Alligator mississippiensis: one gene and its partner. Each later gene encodes a partner of the first gene's protein in a complex. Links are inferred from orthologs where the notes say so. Each region holds a gene or a part of one and is shown in the gene's direction. Other genes may lie near its edges.

Evidence for each region. Proteins that work in one complex are often made in the same cells at the same time.
Region 2: the proteins of LMAN1 (region 1) and MCFD2 are in contact, whole or in part, in a cryo-EM structure (PDB 8JP5), measured with the Homo sapiens proteins. The link is inferred for Alligator mississippiensis from reciprocal best matches to the Homo sapiens genes LMAN1 and MCFD2. Residues at the interface, in NP_005561.1 of Homo sapiens: His43, Arg44, Arg45, Phe46, Tyr48, Lys49, Ser51, Phe52, Lys53, Pro55, His56, Gln59, Ser60, Asp61, Val64, Pro65, Phe66, Trp67, Lys96, Phe265, Glu273, Lys279, Glu280, Ile281, Glu285, Lys286, Tyr289, Glu292, Phe293, Phe296; in NP_001164977.1 of Homo sapiens: Val59, Ile60, Asn61, Lys62, Gln70, Glu71, Leu74, His75, Phe77, Lys78, Tyr82, Asp83, Asn86, Asp89, Gly90, Leu91, Glu92, Thr95, Thr98, His99, Val100, Leu111, Glu114, Leu117, Ile118, Ile121, Asp122, Leu125, Asp129, Lys130.

The regions. Positions count from the first base shown.
Region 1 is NC_081826.1:282,324,084-282,331,583, forward strand, and holds the start of LMAN1 (protein ERGIC-53), read left to right. Parts: upstream 1-4,497; 5' UTR 4,498-4,573; coding exon 4,574-4,760; intron 4,761-6,552; coding exon 6,553-6,707; intron 6,708-6,790; coding exon 6,791-6,898; intron 6,899-7,500. UniProt on the Homo sapiens protein: Mannose-specific lectin. May recognize sugar residues of glycoproteins, glycolipids, or glycosylphosphatidyl inositol anchors and may be involved in the sorting or recycling of proteins, lipids, or both.
Region 2 is NC_081824.1:199,638,618-199,646,415, reverse strand, and holds the start of MCFD2 (multiple coagulation factor deficiency protein 2), read left to right. Parts: upstream 1-4,795; 5' UTR 4,796-5,009; intron 5,010-5,117; exon of another isoform or gene 5,118-5,210; intron 5,211-5,213; exon of another isoform or gene 5,214-5,288; intron 5,289-7,798. UniProt on the Homo sapiens protein: The MCFD2-LMAN1 complex forms a specific cargo receptor for the ER-to-Golgi transport of selected proteins. Plays a role in the secretion of coagulation factors.

The DNA.
Region 1 (7,500 bases):
CCCTGGAGTTCCCCTGATTTTTGGTGTGGTAGATACTGTGTTTGTATAAATTCTAGTTTTCCTCTTCAGCTAAGGGTCTCAGAAGCTTATGTGGAGTCTTTGTTACTGGCAAACAAGAAGAAATTATGAATATAGGTACCCATCAGTACAGAAAAGTTATATTAACTAATAAGAGATTTGCCTGACAGTATGGTTACTAAGAATAACTGAACTGATTTGCAAATTGTTGCCTTCTGACAGTTTAACTGCCAGACACTGGAGATTTACATACTGTAACAGGCTCCCATGATTAGCCAAATGCCAAGAAACTGAATAACCAGAAGGAAAATTTGGAGTTTTGCAAATAACTATACATCATCACTGTTCCTGAACTCTGGTTGAGATAAGTTCATTTATTATATAACCACCTAATAGGATTGTCTTTTTGTCTACGTATCTGTTTGCATGCCCCTTGCAGGATGGGATATCAGACCTGTTCGTGTGTGAGACAGAGATCATTTTGTTTTCTAGTGCTCTCATTTTACTAGAGTAGTCAGTTGCAATTCAGTTCAATGATTTTATTCGCGTGACAAGCTAAAAGAGTTACCACCATAACAGGCTCCTGCAGTAAGTGTTGAAAGTTACAATCCCCCCAGAAAGGGCTTGACACTATTAGGCCTCTGAAGCATTTGCCATTATGTTACATTGTAGCAGAGGTCTCTGTTTTTATGCCCTGGCAACCAAAAACTATTTCTGGCCAGACAGGAAGAAGAGTTGAGCTTTCTGTTTCTTGGTTAGCTGGGAGGAAGAAACTGATAGTCCAATCTTCCTCTTCCAGTTGACACACTGATTTTTTTTAAAGCTTCCTCACACTTGCTCCAGAAGTATGAAGGACTATTTTCTTCTGCTCTGTTCCTCCTCCTCCTGCCTCTGGTCACCCCATCCCACTGTTACCTCTTTCTGCCATTTATTGCATGAGAGCTTTTCTCTGGAAAGTCATGTTATTTACTTATTTGGATTTACTATTTCTTTCTCCTTGTATCTCTTCATCCCATCTACTCCACATTTTGAACTCTCACCTGAAAACATGTTTTTTTTTCACTGGTAGATGTTTTGTTTCCTTTCCCCTTTGTTATTAATTTGGATCACTGACTAATTTGGATCAGTATGCAAGTTGCATGAAAGATACTATCAATATAAAACTGCATGAGATATTTCTATGCTTTATAATATCATTAACTTTTACCAAGTACTCACACATGCTTATATGACATTGGATTTTTTTAAAAAGTAATTTGAAGGAATACTTTGAATATAAAATATGGTCAGTGTTTGCTTTAATCCCATGTAGTTCATGAAGGGAATGTGCCTTTCTTGACTGATGTCTAAGATCCTATTCTTAGCTACATTAATGCATTTGTATGTTATGTTAAAACAAGCCACCACAGCATCATTTCTTCTGAGCAGGTCCAGATCATCATCCTCTGTATTAGGTTATGAACCCGTATAGTGACTCTTTAAATAACTCACGTTAACTGATTAGGTAAATGGAAAGCTAGGATTCACAGAAGCAAATGAATAAAGACAGGGGAAAGAAGCAGGAAAAGAAGGAAGGAAACTGGAAAAGAAATTTTGCATATTGCTGTGATATGAAAGGAAGCCATAATATAGAACAATATACCTAAAACAAAGTCAGCCATTTCTTGGTAAAATTGGCTGGAAGTCATGGTAGTGAAACAAAGGCAAAAACAACATACCCACAGGGCTTAAAAAAAAGATATGAAGTTGTTAGAGGTATGAAGCCAAACAGCTAGACCTCTTTACAGAAATGCTCCATGCTCTGTACACTCCCCTTTCACAGGCATCCCCCAAAACAAACTGTATGGACCTAATTCTTCAAGATAGAGTCCAGTAGTTTCCAGCACTCACCAGCTTCCATAATAGTGCCCATGCTTAGCACCTTATGTGACCCAAATTTATCTCTAGTGAGGATCTGGCTGCATTTGTTGAAAACAACGAGAGCCTTTCTGTGTCAAGGAAGCAAAAAAGATTTCTGATCATTACAAAAAATATGATCATTCACTAGGACCAAGAGGTGTTGTCACTCCTTTATTCTACAACCACACCTATGATACTATGTTTTGTTATTTCATACCGTACCTCCAATTCCCCCTCCCATCCTATAAAAAGCTGACTTTGAAAGCCAAGTTCCTATGAGAAAATATTGCCATTTTTGTCAAGAACCTTGTTTCTAGAGCACAGGTAATCATCAACGTGTATCCCAGAGATTCACCTCATTAGTGACCATGAATTGTTTGCCTACTTTAATTGTAACATGAAGACACATGTATGAAAGATGCATAGGGTTGAATCAAAATTTTGGGTTGTTTTCAAGCTGGTGCTACGGGAGTGGAATTAACCAGGCAGATCTTGTGGAAGGCCGGGGCCTAGATCAGGTGGCATACGGTCTGCTTAGAGCAGCTGGTAAAACTTGGCTCAGTTCTTTATTTAAGGCAACTATGATCTGGTGCCAAAGTCCTGGCAGTGTGCCGATACGATAGCATGGGTTGTGCCAGGTCTGGGTGGGTTTGTGTCATTCCCACATGGACTCTCTTCTCTAAGCTGCTCAGATGTGAACCCTAAAGCAGGGGAAAGCTGTTTCTGGATACAGGGACCTTCCTCTTCTGGCTGCCTCTTGATTCATAGGAAAAAAGGACCAGCAGGGGATGGGGGTGGGATACACTGGTGCATTTGCACCCTGCTTTGATGTCTGCTCCACCCAACGTTGAAAACTGCCCACAGGTGGCAGCAACATATCTGTTGAGCAGCAAGGAAGGGGTCGATTGACTTCATGGCTCATTATATTCCACCCAGTCCTTCTAAACTCTCCATTCCACCCGTGTTAACGACCCTCCCTCTTTTTATTGGTCTTTATGTTCCACTGAATAAGCTGACAAGGATCTTTGGGTAAATCTGGTATCTTTTATTAGACCAACTAAATAGTTGGAAACTTTTTTCTTAGCAAGCTTTTGGGTTTAAAAACCCCTTGTCAGTTTTTAAACCCGAAAGCCTCCTAAGAAAAATGTTTCCAACTATTTAGTTGGTCTAATAAAAGATATCAGATTTACTCAAAGACCCCTGTCTGCCTGTGTCCTTAGAGCAGCAAACAGGGCTAAAACCTACACCTCTGAATAAGCTGGTCTTTCTTCTGCAGCACTGCTGCCTGTTAACGCTCTTGGTCATGTCTCTCCTGTTTCACAACCCTGCAGCCTCTTTCTTTAACACTGGCTCACGGCATTAATTCAGGGAAGTACTGGAGGCAGTGTCAAGATGCTCAAGAAGGCTTGATTTTATGAAACTGAAAATTTATAATGACTCCAGGACCGATAAAACAGCCTATTTTTACTGTTTTATTTTCGTCTAGTTTATGGGGTGTTTTTAGATGTATAATATATGGCACAGCGAATTTATATTTGCTTTTGCTGCCATCGTAAATTGAAAACTATCCCTGCAGGCCACGGGCTTATTAGTAAAATTTCTAATCACTTTTTCATGTGATAAAAGTGTGCATTATGTTCAGGGATCCTGGTTTTCTCTGATTTAAAAAAAATCCGCAAGTTTCAGTTAAAAAAAAGTAACCTCAAATCTACATTTTTTTGTGATTTAATAAAGATAGATAGATAGATAGATACAGTAATGGTGTTTCATTTACATCAAGGAAAAATGTGGATATATCTCTATAGATATCTATCTATCTACCTATATATATCTCTATATTGGTGACTGAAGTTTCATTTAAATCACAGAAAAATGTGGATTTGAGGTTACTTTTTTAATTATTTAAATTTAATGACTTAATTTTTAAATTTAAATGAAACACCACTATCTATATATCTATCTAAGTATTAGTGATGTTCCATTTAAATCATGGAAAAAAGTGGATTTGAGGTAACTTTTTTTAATTACTGAAATTTTTTAGTTAATTAAAATGACTTAACTTAATTACTTGACTTAATTAAAATGACTTAATTTTAAAATTTAAATGAAACACCACTATCTGTCTATCCATCTATTAGTGGTGTTTCATTTAAATCATGGAAAAATGTGTATTTGGGGTTCCTTTTTTTAACTGAAAGTTGGGGATTTTTTTGAAAGCAAGAAAACCAGGATCCCTGATTCTGTTACATGTGATGACGACTCACTGGACACCCCCCCCCCCCCAACCCCTCTTTCCAAAACCCTGGCTCCCCCACCCCTGCCTGGCAGCTGCCCCGGTGACCCCAACCCCAGATCACTCAGCCCCGCCCCCTCTGACGACATAGGGAGGGGCGGGGCGATGCCGGTGGCTGAACTGCGCGGGGGCCAGGGAGGTGGGCGGGGCTTGTGTGCCGACCCGCCTGAAGCCACTGGCAGCAGGGGAGGGGGCGTAGCAGAGGTGGGCGGGACTCGCTTGGGCCCCGCCCCCTCCTTATCCGCGCGCGCGGGGCCATGCGGCGGGTGCGTTCCGTTGCCCTTTGCCCGCCCCCCCCTGCGCCGCGCTTAGCCAATCAGGGGGCGCCCTGTTGGCTGCGCCGGGCGGCCGCGGCGGAGCAAGATGGCGGGGGCCGGGCGGGCGCGGGCGTGGGGCAGCCTGTGGCGGCGGCTGCTGCTGGTGCTGCTGGTCTGGGCCGGCGGCACGGGCGCGGTGGGGCCGCACCGCCGCTTCGAGTACAAGTACAGCTTCAAGGGGCCGCACCTGGTGCAGGCGGACGGCGCCGTGCCCTTCTGGGCGCACACGGGCAGTGAGTAGGGGCCCGGCCGGGCAGGGGGGGAAGCCCGCGGGGCTTTGTTCAGTCCTGCCCGCCGCCCCCTAGCCGGACCGGGGCCGGGGCGGCTGCTCTGGCGTGTCCCCAAACCGCTCCCAGCCACCTGCGTTGGGGGGGGGTGTCCGTAAGGGGGCTGAGCACGGTGCAAACAACGGTGGTTATTATCCTTATCTCTGGGGAAAGGGAGCCTGATACTGCAAGTTCGCCAGGCGTCAGGGGACGGCCGGCAGCTCTGGGGCTCAGTAGGGCCGCTGCCGGCAGCTCGTCCCAGCCCAGTGATGATGTGTCACTCGGAGCAGAGCGAAACTTGTGGCCTGGGACCAGCCCTTGAAACGAGTCCCAGAGACAGGGTTTTTTAGAAATCGGGTTAGGCTCATGCCTTGGTTGCGAGAGGGCATGCATTTGCATTGTTTACGGCGTGCTGGTTAGGTAACCTCTCCGTGGTTTGCGGCAGGGTTATGATACGTCTTTATTATACTTCCAGATTGCTGCTTCGCCCATTGGTTGGCTCGGTTTAGAAAACGTGCGGATACGTGCTAGTGGCAGAGCATTGCTCTGTCTCAGGTGCTGCAAATCGCACAGGTGTAGGGCTGCAAGGGACCTCGAGAGGTCACCTAGAGTCCAGCCCCCCACCTGAGGCAGGATCAGCCCTGTCCAAACCACCCTATACAATCCGTAATGGAAATGCCTCCTAAAACTACCCTTAGCCCTGACACAGCACAGACCTAACACCCTAATCTGCCACAGGTAAAGCAGGGGAACCAGAGCAGCCAACGTCCTGCTTCTGTGAAATGTTGTCAGTACATGCTTAAGAGATCCTAGGCAGAAGGTTACCTCCCCTGCTACAGAGGAAGGCAAACCCCCATCATCTGTGCCAGTCTAAACCCCCCCATCATCTGTGCCAGGCCGACCGTGGGGTACAATTCCTGACCCCAGATACAGGGATTGGTCTAACCCAAGACCCTTTGGCCAGGAACCTCCAGCTTATGGTCCTAGCAGGAGCACTGGCGCACCCCAAAGAAGCTGTATATTGACTTTCTGTGAAGGAATTTAATGTAGTTTAATGGGAATATTTGGACATCTTACATATATCTGTGTACTTTTGCTAACTCTATAGACATGGTAAGATGCAGAGAGAGATGACTTTAAGCAGCTCTTTATTAGTGTAAGTTTTTAAATAAATTGGTTGCACATAACTTTTTATTTATTAAATAAATAGAGTATCTAAATGTGCGTTCCAGTAAATCTTCTCTTTAGAACTGTATAACCACCGCACTTAGTGGTCCTAACTGAGATTGGGTTCCCACTGAGTACTTCATGTAATAGCAAGACCAAGTCCAAAAAGTTTAGGGTTTATGTTACCGTGGGCAAGGAGTGCATAAAAGGAAGTAGTGCTTTAGTAGTGGGCACACAAGGTGGGGAAAATAAGTAATCTACCCAAGGTTACGTAGGAACATATGAAAGCAGAAAACTGAATGCTGATCTGCTGCCTTGGAGTCCAGTGCCCCAACCATGAGACCAACCTTCTTCTCATGTTCAGGAACTTTGAATAAGGCACCTGTAAAACATTCAGTAACTTTAGAAAATCCTTCAATGCTTTTAAAAATGGTGAAGTATAGCATATTAATTTTAATATTTAATACTATTTGAAATTGGTTGGCTCAGCAGTGAGAACCATCTACTACGAGGCTAAGGTTAAGTGTTTACAGGTAAAAATCAATTGCTGTGCTTGCTGTTATGTTTAATGCTGGTTTCTTTCCTTTTTCAGATGCCATACCTAGCGCGGATCAGATTCGAATAACTCCGTCACTGAAAAGCCAGAGAGGATCAGTGTGGACAAAAAACAAATCTGTATTTGAAAACTGGGAGGTTGAGGTGACATTTCGAGTGACAGGGAGAGGCCGCATTGGAGCAGATGGACTGGTATATGAATTTGATTTAATTTATACAACAAACTTATTTTCTAAATGTGAATCTTATGACTTGCATTTGATTCTTGTGCACAGGCAATCTGGTTTACTGAAGATCAAGGCCTGGAGGGTCCAGTTTTTGGGGCAGCTGATAACTGGAATGGTGTTGGCATTTTCTTTGACTCTTTTGACAATGATGGAAAGGTTAGTTGGAAACTTCCTCTTACAATAGGGTTGCAAAATGGTCTTACACTTGATGTCTGTTAGTCACACAAAAATATAATAGTTTTGTATTGCTTGTTTGGTTTTTTCCTATATATATTGGTTTAAAAATGACACCCCCCTTTTGTTTCTTAGCTATGTAAAGAAAAAAATGGTTCAAGTTTGAAGGTTGAACCTTGCTTTGCAATTAATCTTCACAGGAAGTAAATTTTTTATGAGGCAAAGGCTTTATTGGGACCCTCTTGCCTTTGGTTGCCTTGTTCTTTACCAGAATTAAATGAGGTGTGGTGTAGTTCAGTGGTTCTCAACCTTTTATGTACCAGGACCCATTCATAAACATCAGTGGCCAGTCCTGAGCCAGTTCCCCTCACTCTCGACCCATTTCCCCCACCACCACCACCCCTCCCCCAACTCGAGGCACCAGCCCACAGTGTGTGGGGCAGGCAGGGTGTGTGTGGGGCATGGGGAGCCCTAAGCAGCCCCTCGCAGGCTGGAACTCTGCCAGCCTACAAGGAAAAAGCCATGGTTTCCAAAGTTTTTTTTTTCTCTTTTAAAAGTGAATCCATTTTTAAAGTTTGTTCACA
Region 2 (7,798 bases), on another chromosome or scaffold:
ACATTACCTTGGCAGGTACTATCCCTGTATCAGGAGAGCGGTCTTCCCCAGGTGCAACTAAGGAGACCGCCCCAGCAGTCACAGTGTTTCCCTTGCCAGGCAAGCATAGGACTACGCTCGATCTGAGCCGACAAGAGGCCGAGAAGGAATAGATTGGCATGTTTCCAACCCAAGGTAAGAGACATGTCTGTAAAGATACATATAAACAAAGGTTAGGGTGATTATAACAAGTGAGGCAGTATTTTACCCCCCCCACTCCTTTGTTTTTTTGTTGTTGTTGTTTTTTTTTTTAAATCATCTCTATCCTGTCCTGCTCCCACTCCAGCCTCCCAGAGTATCACCCTGATTCCTTTCCTGCCACACCTGGTTGTTAAAGTAACAAGGGGAGGCTGCCTTGGAGACCTGGTATAAGCCTAGGCACTTTCTCCATCTCAGCATCATTCTCCAGCCCTACATGCCTTAAGACCTAAATTTGTGACCTCCAGCTGCCCCCATAGTCACACCCATGCCTCACAGGTGTCAGTCTAGACTGATGCATCAGCTTGTAGGGGCTTCAGCCCTCTTAGTTTTAGCCTGCTGGTCACTTTGCTGCAAACTGCCAGCCTAGGCCCGTTCCCTCTAGGCTTGGCTTCTGAATCTCAGCCTTATCTGACCCTTGGCCCATCTCACTCAGCTTGGGCCCTTGGCCCTTGTCTCTTTGCTCTAAGCTCCTGGCCCCCAATTCCCCCTTTTCAGGCTTTGACCCTTAGCCCTCTTGGCCTCAGGCCACCTCTACTACCGGTGTAATATGATCCTGGCTCATTTGGCCTTAAGGTGACCACCTTTTCCAAAGTGGAAGGCAGTACACATGCCTGCCTCCTCCCACCCCCCTCCCTACTGCCACTGCCACCACAGCTGGACCAGAGCCGAGCAGAGGCAAGCGGAGCAGGTGCTGGATTTGGGCTGCCAACTGCAGGCTCAGGGCTCCCCACCCTGCTGCCTTTCCCTCAGCAGCAGGGCCACAACTCCATGCCACCACTGTCCCCATTGCTGCCAGGTGGGCAAGGGGTACCTCACCAAGGTGGCACAGCCATTGTGGGCCCCCCGGGGGCAGGGCAGCAAGCCCCAAGCCCCCAGTGAGCAGCCCACATCCACCCCTGCCCCACTCCATCTGTCACTGTGGGGGCCTCAATCTGCACCCCCTCTGATCTCCCATGCCCCCTCTCCCCCACAGATATACCTGCAGGGAGAGGCTCTTCATGCTTCTCAGCTGTATTTTCTGGCCACGTGAATGTGTGGGGGCACACACATGCACATAGCACCCCCCAGTCATTCACCACCTGTCAGCCCTTTGCAGGCTGGCAGCCTTTTCAAAATCCCTGCAGATACTGTGAATCTAGAACAAATGCTGTCCCAGAATCATGCAGCCCAGGACCAAGACTTGAAGTCCTGCCCAGCTAGGGACAGGTGGTCACCCTACTTCGACTCCACTTGCCCATCATGAGCCCCAGCCCCTGGCAGGGCTCAAAAACAGCTTGTACTGCTGAGGCACCACTATGGCTTTAAGCCTCTGTGTGCCACCTACCTCAAGCACCCCACTCTGGCTCAGTTCTAGGTGTGTCCCTTAGGTGCCCCCCCCTGGCCTCATCTGCCCTTTGTAGCCACAACCTGGTCTACCAGCATAAAACCCTAACCCCCAAAATAAGCACTCTAGCTATAACTGTCAGCCAGGAGCTCCTCTGCAGCTCTCCTGTCCTAGAGCTCTTTCCTCAACAGCTCCCAAAGCCAGACTGACTGCTTTAACTCAGGCCCTGGGTTTATATGGCTGGGAGCCATGCCCCATTTTGATCAGGTGCCTCTTGGAGCTCTGCACAGGGCTTTCCCTGTCAATCAAGAGGAAGCCTGCCCTCCTGCAGCCAGGGCCAGCTGAGCCCACTGAGTTCTCCTAAAGGGGCCAGGGCCTCCTAGCTCCCTGCCACCATTTTTTTTCCTTCCCTTCCCTTACTCCCCAGGTAACAGGGTATGAATTCCCTGTTACAGTGACACTAATAGAAGTAAAGAACTCTGAAGATCACCTCTGAAGCAATCAAACCAGCAAGCTCCGGAAACATGTACTGTGTAGGTGAGAAGCCTGACATTTAACACGCACAGTGCATGAAAGGAAAAAAAACACAAAAATACAATCCCTCAGCTGAAATAAGAAAAGCCTCCAAACCAATACCACCCCTCCAATCTCTACCCCAATCCTGCAGCTCCTTGGTGGAGCAGAATCAGATATAACATTCATCAGATTGCACAGGTTATTCAGATCATAACTGGGCTCCCCAGCTTGAGATCCACTTGCTATGATGTGCATGATCACATAGGCCCAAAGCAGTCTGTAAAAGTGGCCACCACCCCTCACATCTCTGGATGGCATGATACCCAATGTGTTATTTCCTGTGGTAGAAGCTGGCACCTGACTTTGTTTAACACAAGGAACCTGGTGCACAGCAACAGTAACCACATGATCTTGATGAGGTGGAGATCTGAGCCTAACAGCAAGGGAAAACCCTAGACCAGAGGTTCCCAACCCCCAGGCCGTGGCCCGGTACCTGGCCGTGAAGGGTTGGCTGCCAGTCTGCAGGAGGGTTGGCTGCCAGAGCAGAAGCCCAGAAGTGGCTGAATATAAAAACGGGTTGGCTGCTTGTCCGCAGTATGCCATTCACCATTGGTCCGCAATTTGCCGGTCCGCAGCATAAAAAGTTTGGGAACCCCTGCTCTAAACGATAGGAGACCTCCATCTGCTGCATCCCTTTTCCATGTTTACAGCTGTAGAGATCCTGACATCATCTCCTGCCTGAGCCACCATTTAGGACTTGGGGTTGGATCACGGTTTGCCTGGAACCTCGCCGCAGGCCTGTTCTCCATTGATGACCTAGCCAGGAGTATGACTCTGGGCAACATAGCTCAGAGGGTCATTGGGACACACGAGCCTCCCCACCACTGCAAGATCTCAGTCCTTGGAGAGGGGTGATGCCGAGCAGCCAGACAGCGAAGAAGTAGAGGTGGCTGGCAAAATAATACCAAGATTTGTGAGTGTTTTTCTACATACCTATAGCTACAGGCACACATATATCAATACCTATCCATGCAAAGATCTATTTATCTGTCTAGCTATATGTCAATAGCTGTACTTTTACAGGCGAAGACACCTATCCATCCGAAGCTTCTGTGGGTGAGCTCCATTTACAGGCATAGAGACCTGTCTCTCTATCCATCTCTCTACATTAGCCACAAGCTTTCCCAGGCTACTGCTCCCTTCATCCATTGCTGGAAATACCATGACCACTACGGTGGTTTTCCTACTGGCAGGGGGAAACCACTTTATTGGCAGGGGGTAATACCCAACCGAGGTAATGCATAGTTAGCCTCCCACATTCACTTCCAGTGGGAAGAATTTGGCTATACACTGACTTTATAGAAGGGGGAGACTCCTCCCTAGCTTGCTCCTGAGGCCGTACAGCTGAAGGCAAGCCAAACTCAGGGGCACCTGAACCCCATGCTTCAGGGCTTAGGCCTGCACCTAGGATGCCTGCCGAATGATTTGGAAGCATCTGAAGCCCCAGGTGCGAGTGAAGGATGCTTGCTGGTAGTAGGACCACATATGGTTCTTGAATGACTCATGGATTTGAAATTGATTTGGCTGATTTCACTTGAAACACAAAAAATTTTCTTTAAAAAAAAAAAAGTCAAGTGCACATACTTATTTGGCAGGAAAAATACCCACAATGGTGACAGGGGAAATACCCTGACCGAGGTAATGCAATTAAAATGGCATTGTGGAGGGTTGTACCTTTGTCTGCTTGCGGACAGGACTCCCTGCGAGAGCCTCAGTTAGCTTCTGACTGCCCAGCTTCCAGTGGTAGGATCTCGGCTAGGCGACAACTATGGAAATGGAGGACTCCTCCTTAGCTTGCTCCTGAGGCCGTACAGCTGAGGGCAAGCCAAACTCAGGGGCATCTGAACCCCATGCTTCAGGGCTTAGGCCTGCACCTAGGATGCCCGCCAGAGGATTTGGAAGCATTTGAAGCCCCCAGGCAGGGGTGGAGGCTAACAGGGCCTTGCTGGTAGTAGGGCCACATATGGTTCTTGAATGACTCACAGATTTGGAATTGATTTAGCTTGGAACATGAAAAACTTTTTTTTATATATATATATATATATATATATATATATATATATATATATATATATATATATATATATGGAAAAAGTCAAGCGCACATTGCTAAAGAATTTTTTTTTTTTTTTTGCAAAAATCTTGGTCTAATAAAAGATGTCATCTCTGCTGAGTCCCGATTGCCATTGCTAAAGGTGGCACACACAGCTGTGCCTCCCTGCTGGCAGGTATTTTTTTTAACAGCTGTCTCAAAAAAAAAAAAAAAAGGTGGTTTCCACTCAAATGGAAATATTTGAAGAGGGGCGGGGGTGGGTGGAAGCTGCGGGGGCTGAGCACCAGGCTGACAGCTCCTCTCCATTGCACGCAGCTGCTGCAGGCTCTGTGCAGACTCAGGCCGGGGTCCTGCAGGGGACTGTGGGCGCCCCTTGCAGCCTTGGGGCCGGGGCTGTAGTCCCGCCCCGCTGCAGGCCGCACCAAGCAGGGCCCAGCGCAGAACCCCCCCACCCAGGACCAGAGCCTCTTGGGCACAACGTCACGCCCAAGCCCCGCCCCGCCCCCTGGTTCCGCAAGGGGCGCGGCTAGCGGCGCCGGGCGCTTGCCACTGCCGAACCTTCAGGGGAGGGGAGGGGCCGCGGGCTGGGGCGATGTGTCCATTCAGGTGCGGTTCTATGCGGAGGTCTAAGTTACTGTGACGTGGCCCGGCCTGGGCGAGGAGAAGCCAATAGGCAGGATGGGGGCAGGCAGCGCGACACGCGCATGCGTCGGGTCAGAGGTGGGGCTGGAGATGGTGGCCGAGCCAGGCCAGATCTAACCACACCTGCTCGGTGCCCGGAGTCCGCGGCAGGAGCAGTGCAGCGGCTGTGCAGCGGTGAGAGCGGCTGGGGGAGGGGGGTTCTACGTCACTGTCCCTCGGCCCCTGCAGTGTCGGTTGGCGGAGCACGTGGGAGGCGGTGGCTCGGCGGGCGGGGCGCGGGGGCAGGTAGGGATCTGTCTGTCTGGCCGCCTGTGTCTGCGTCTCCGTAGGTACTGCGGTGTCGGTCTAGCGGTAGCCACGGATCTGTAGGGACAGGTGGGTACTGTATGTCTGCCTGCCTGTACCTGGTGTGTAAGAGTCCGTCCATCAAGATCCATGCATCCATAGGACTAGGTGGGTCTGTCTGTCCCTCTGCCTCTCTGTCAAGACCTATGTGTCTGTAGGTCTAGGTACATCTGTCCGTCCATCTGCTTCTCAAGCTCCATGGATCCGTAGTTATAAGTGCATCTGTCTGTGTATCGAGATCCACATATCCTTAGGTATAGGTACGTCTGTCTGTCCATCTGTTTGTCTATCGAGAGCTGTCTGTCCACATGTATGTTGTTCCAGGATCTATGTAGCTGTAGATATAGGTGCATCTATCTGTCGAGATCTGTTTATCCATAGGCATAGGTACATCTGTCTGTCTGTCCATCTGCTTTTCAAAATCTGAGTATCCATAGGTATATATATGTCTATGGCTGTCTTTATGTCTATCAAGATCCACATATCCAGAGGTATAGGTATATCTGTCTGTTTGTCTATCAAGATCAATATATCTGTAGGTATGGATATCTGTGTCTGTCCACCTGTCTGTTTTTCCAAGATCTACGTAGCTGTAGATATAGGTGCATCTGTCTGTCAAGACCTACATATCTGTAGGTATAGGTATGCCTGTCTGTCTGTTGAGATCTGTGTATCCATAGGCATAGGTACATCTGTCTGTCCGTCCATCTGTTTTTCAAGATCTGCATATCTATAAGTATAGATATGACTGTCTTTCTGTCTGTCAAGATCCATGTATCTGTAGGTATAGGTACATCTGTCCATTTGTCTATCAAGATCCACATATCCATAGGTATAGATATGTCTACATGTCCGTAGGTATAGATATGTCCATCTGTCCATCTGTTTTTCAAGACCTTCAGATCCATAGGTATAGGTACATCTGTCTGTTTGGCAAGATCTGCGTATCTGTAGGTATAGCTATGTCTGCCTGTCTGTGTCTGTCAATATAGGTACTGATGGATAAATATTTGCATCGCAAGCTTGTGAGCTAGAGCTGACTTCAGCTGCTGTGAAAGGAGGTACAGGGAGCAGCGGGTAAGGGCAGAAAGAGACTATATGAATACGAAGGCAGAAGGGAAAGGGGGAGAGAGACGGGAGTGGGGCAGTCATAGGGAAGCTATACTGGTCCTAACCGGTATAAAGTTCATGCAACTTTGACACATAGATAAGCCCTAGGTCATCTGTTCAGTCTCAGATCGAAATGTGCCATGCAGAAGTTCCCATCAAAGCCGCAAAATGTCCTGCCTCTCTAATACACAACTTGCTTAGTCTAAATGCACCTTGCTAGTGGATCTACTACCGTACACAGTATACCGAGCACTATGAGAGTGGCATCATTTCTTACTTACCCAGAGAAGCTGTCCTAAGGAACGTTGTTTTTTTTGTTGGGGGGGAGGGGGTTGGTTTTAACTTTTCAGTGAACAAGCGTAGTGTTTAAAGTTTCCTAATGAGATTTTTTCTTGAAACACTTGCCTTATGCAAGTGTTTTTCTTGAAACATTTGCATAACCTGTGAATATTTTCACAGGTTATGCAAACTCTGTGTACTGCCTTGGCAGTGGCCCATAGGTTTATCAAGGATACTGGTGGTTCCTTTTTTAGAACATGCTACGTGACCTGCAGCCATAGCCAAAAGTAACATCAACCCTTTTGTCCAACAAATGCTAATGAGAAGCAGGGGACTGTTTCATTTTTGGGGGAGGAGGGTAGGGAAGGGAGAGTGTGTATTACTTTGTACAGGTTTAGGTTGTAGCCATGTTGGTCTAAGGACTTTTCATTCCATCCAGGAAGAGCACACACCAACTGCTGAAACTTCCTTAGCCTGTTGAAGGGTTTTTGAACCCAAAAGCTTGCTTAATAACTATTCTCCAACTATTTGGGTTGGTCTAATAAAAGATATCAAATTCACCCAAGGAACCTTTTCTGCCTATTGCTTTGTACTGCTGTTCTAGGCTTACCTGCTTTGGTAGGTTGTTCCATGCTGCTGTTCACTCTTCTAGCTTTTTCATAATTTGTGTTAATGCTGACTAGCACTTGCTTTGCTCTTGGCTATATTAAATTCCATGATTCTTATTATCTCTATTACAATATTTATCACAAGGGTGATAAACCTACCTTGTGCCTGGGCCTGAATCCTGCCTATGGGTTTCCTCGTGAGCTGGATCTGGACCAGGGTGATAGAAGTGGGACAAGTGGCCATGGGCCAGGGTGTGGTGGTGGTGCACAAGTGGCTGCAGGCCAGGTGGCTTCAGGGCTACTGAGGGCTGTTGCACAGCCCTGTCTCACCGCTGCCACCAATGGTCATGTCCCCTCTTGGCCCTAGGGCCCCAGATTCTGCAGTAGGATGTTAACACTACTTGTCTTGCATTCAAATTCCTTGGCTACCAGTAATTTGGTGGGGTAGGCAGAACTGCTCTTCAAACTCGCTTTCATGCCCATGAAAGTAACTACAATAAAAGTGCATTGAGTGATGAGTTTTTAGTCTCTTGCATATTAGTAGGTGAACTTATTGTTTGGGGTACTTTAATTAATGCCATTTTCATGTTATATGACTGAATAATGCAATTTACAGGAATC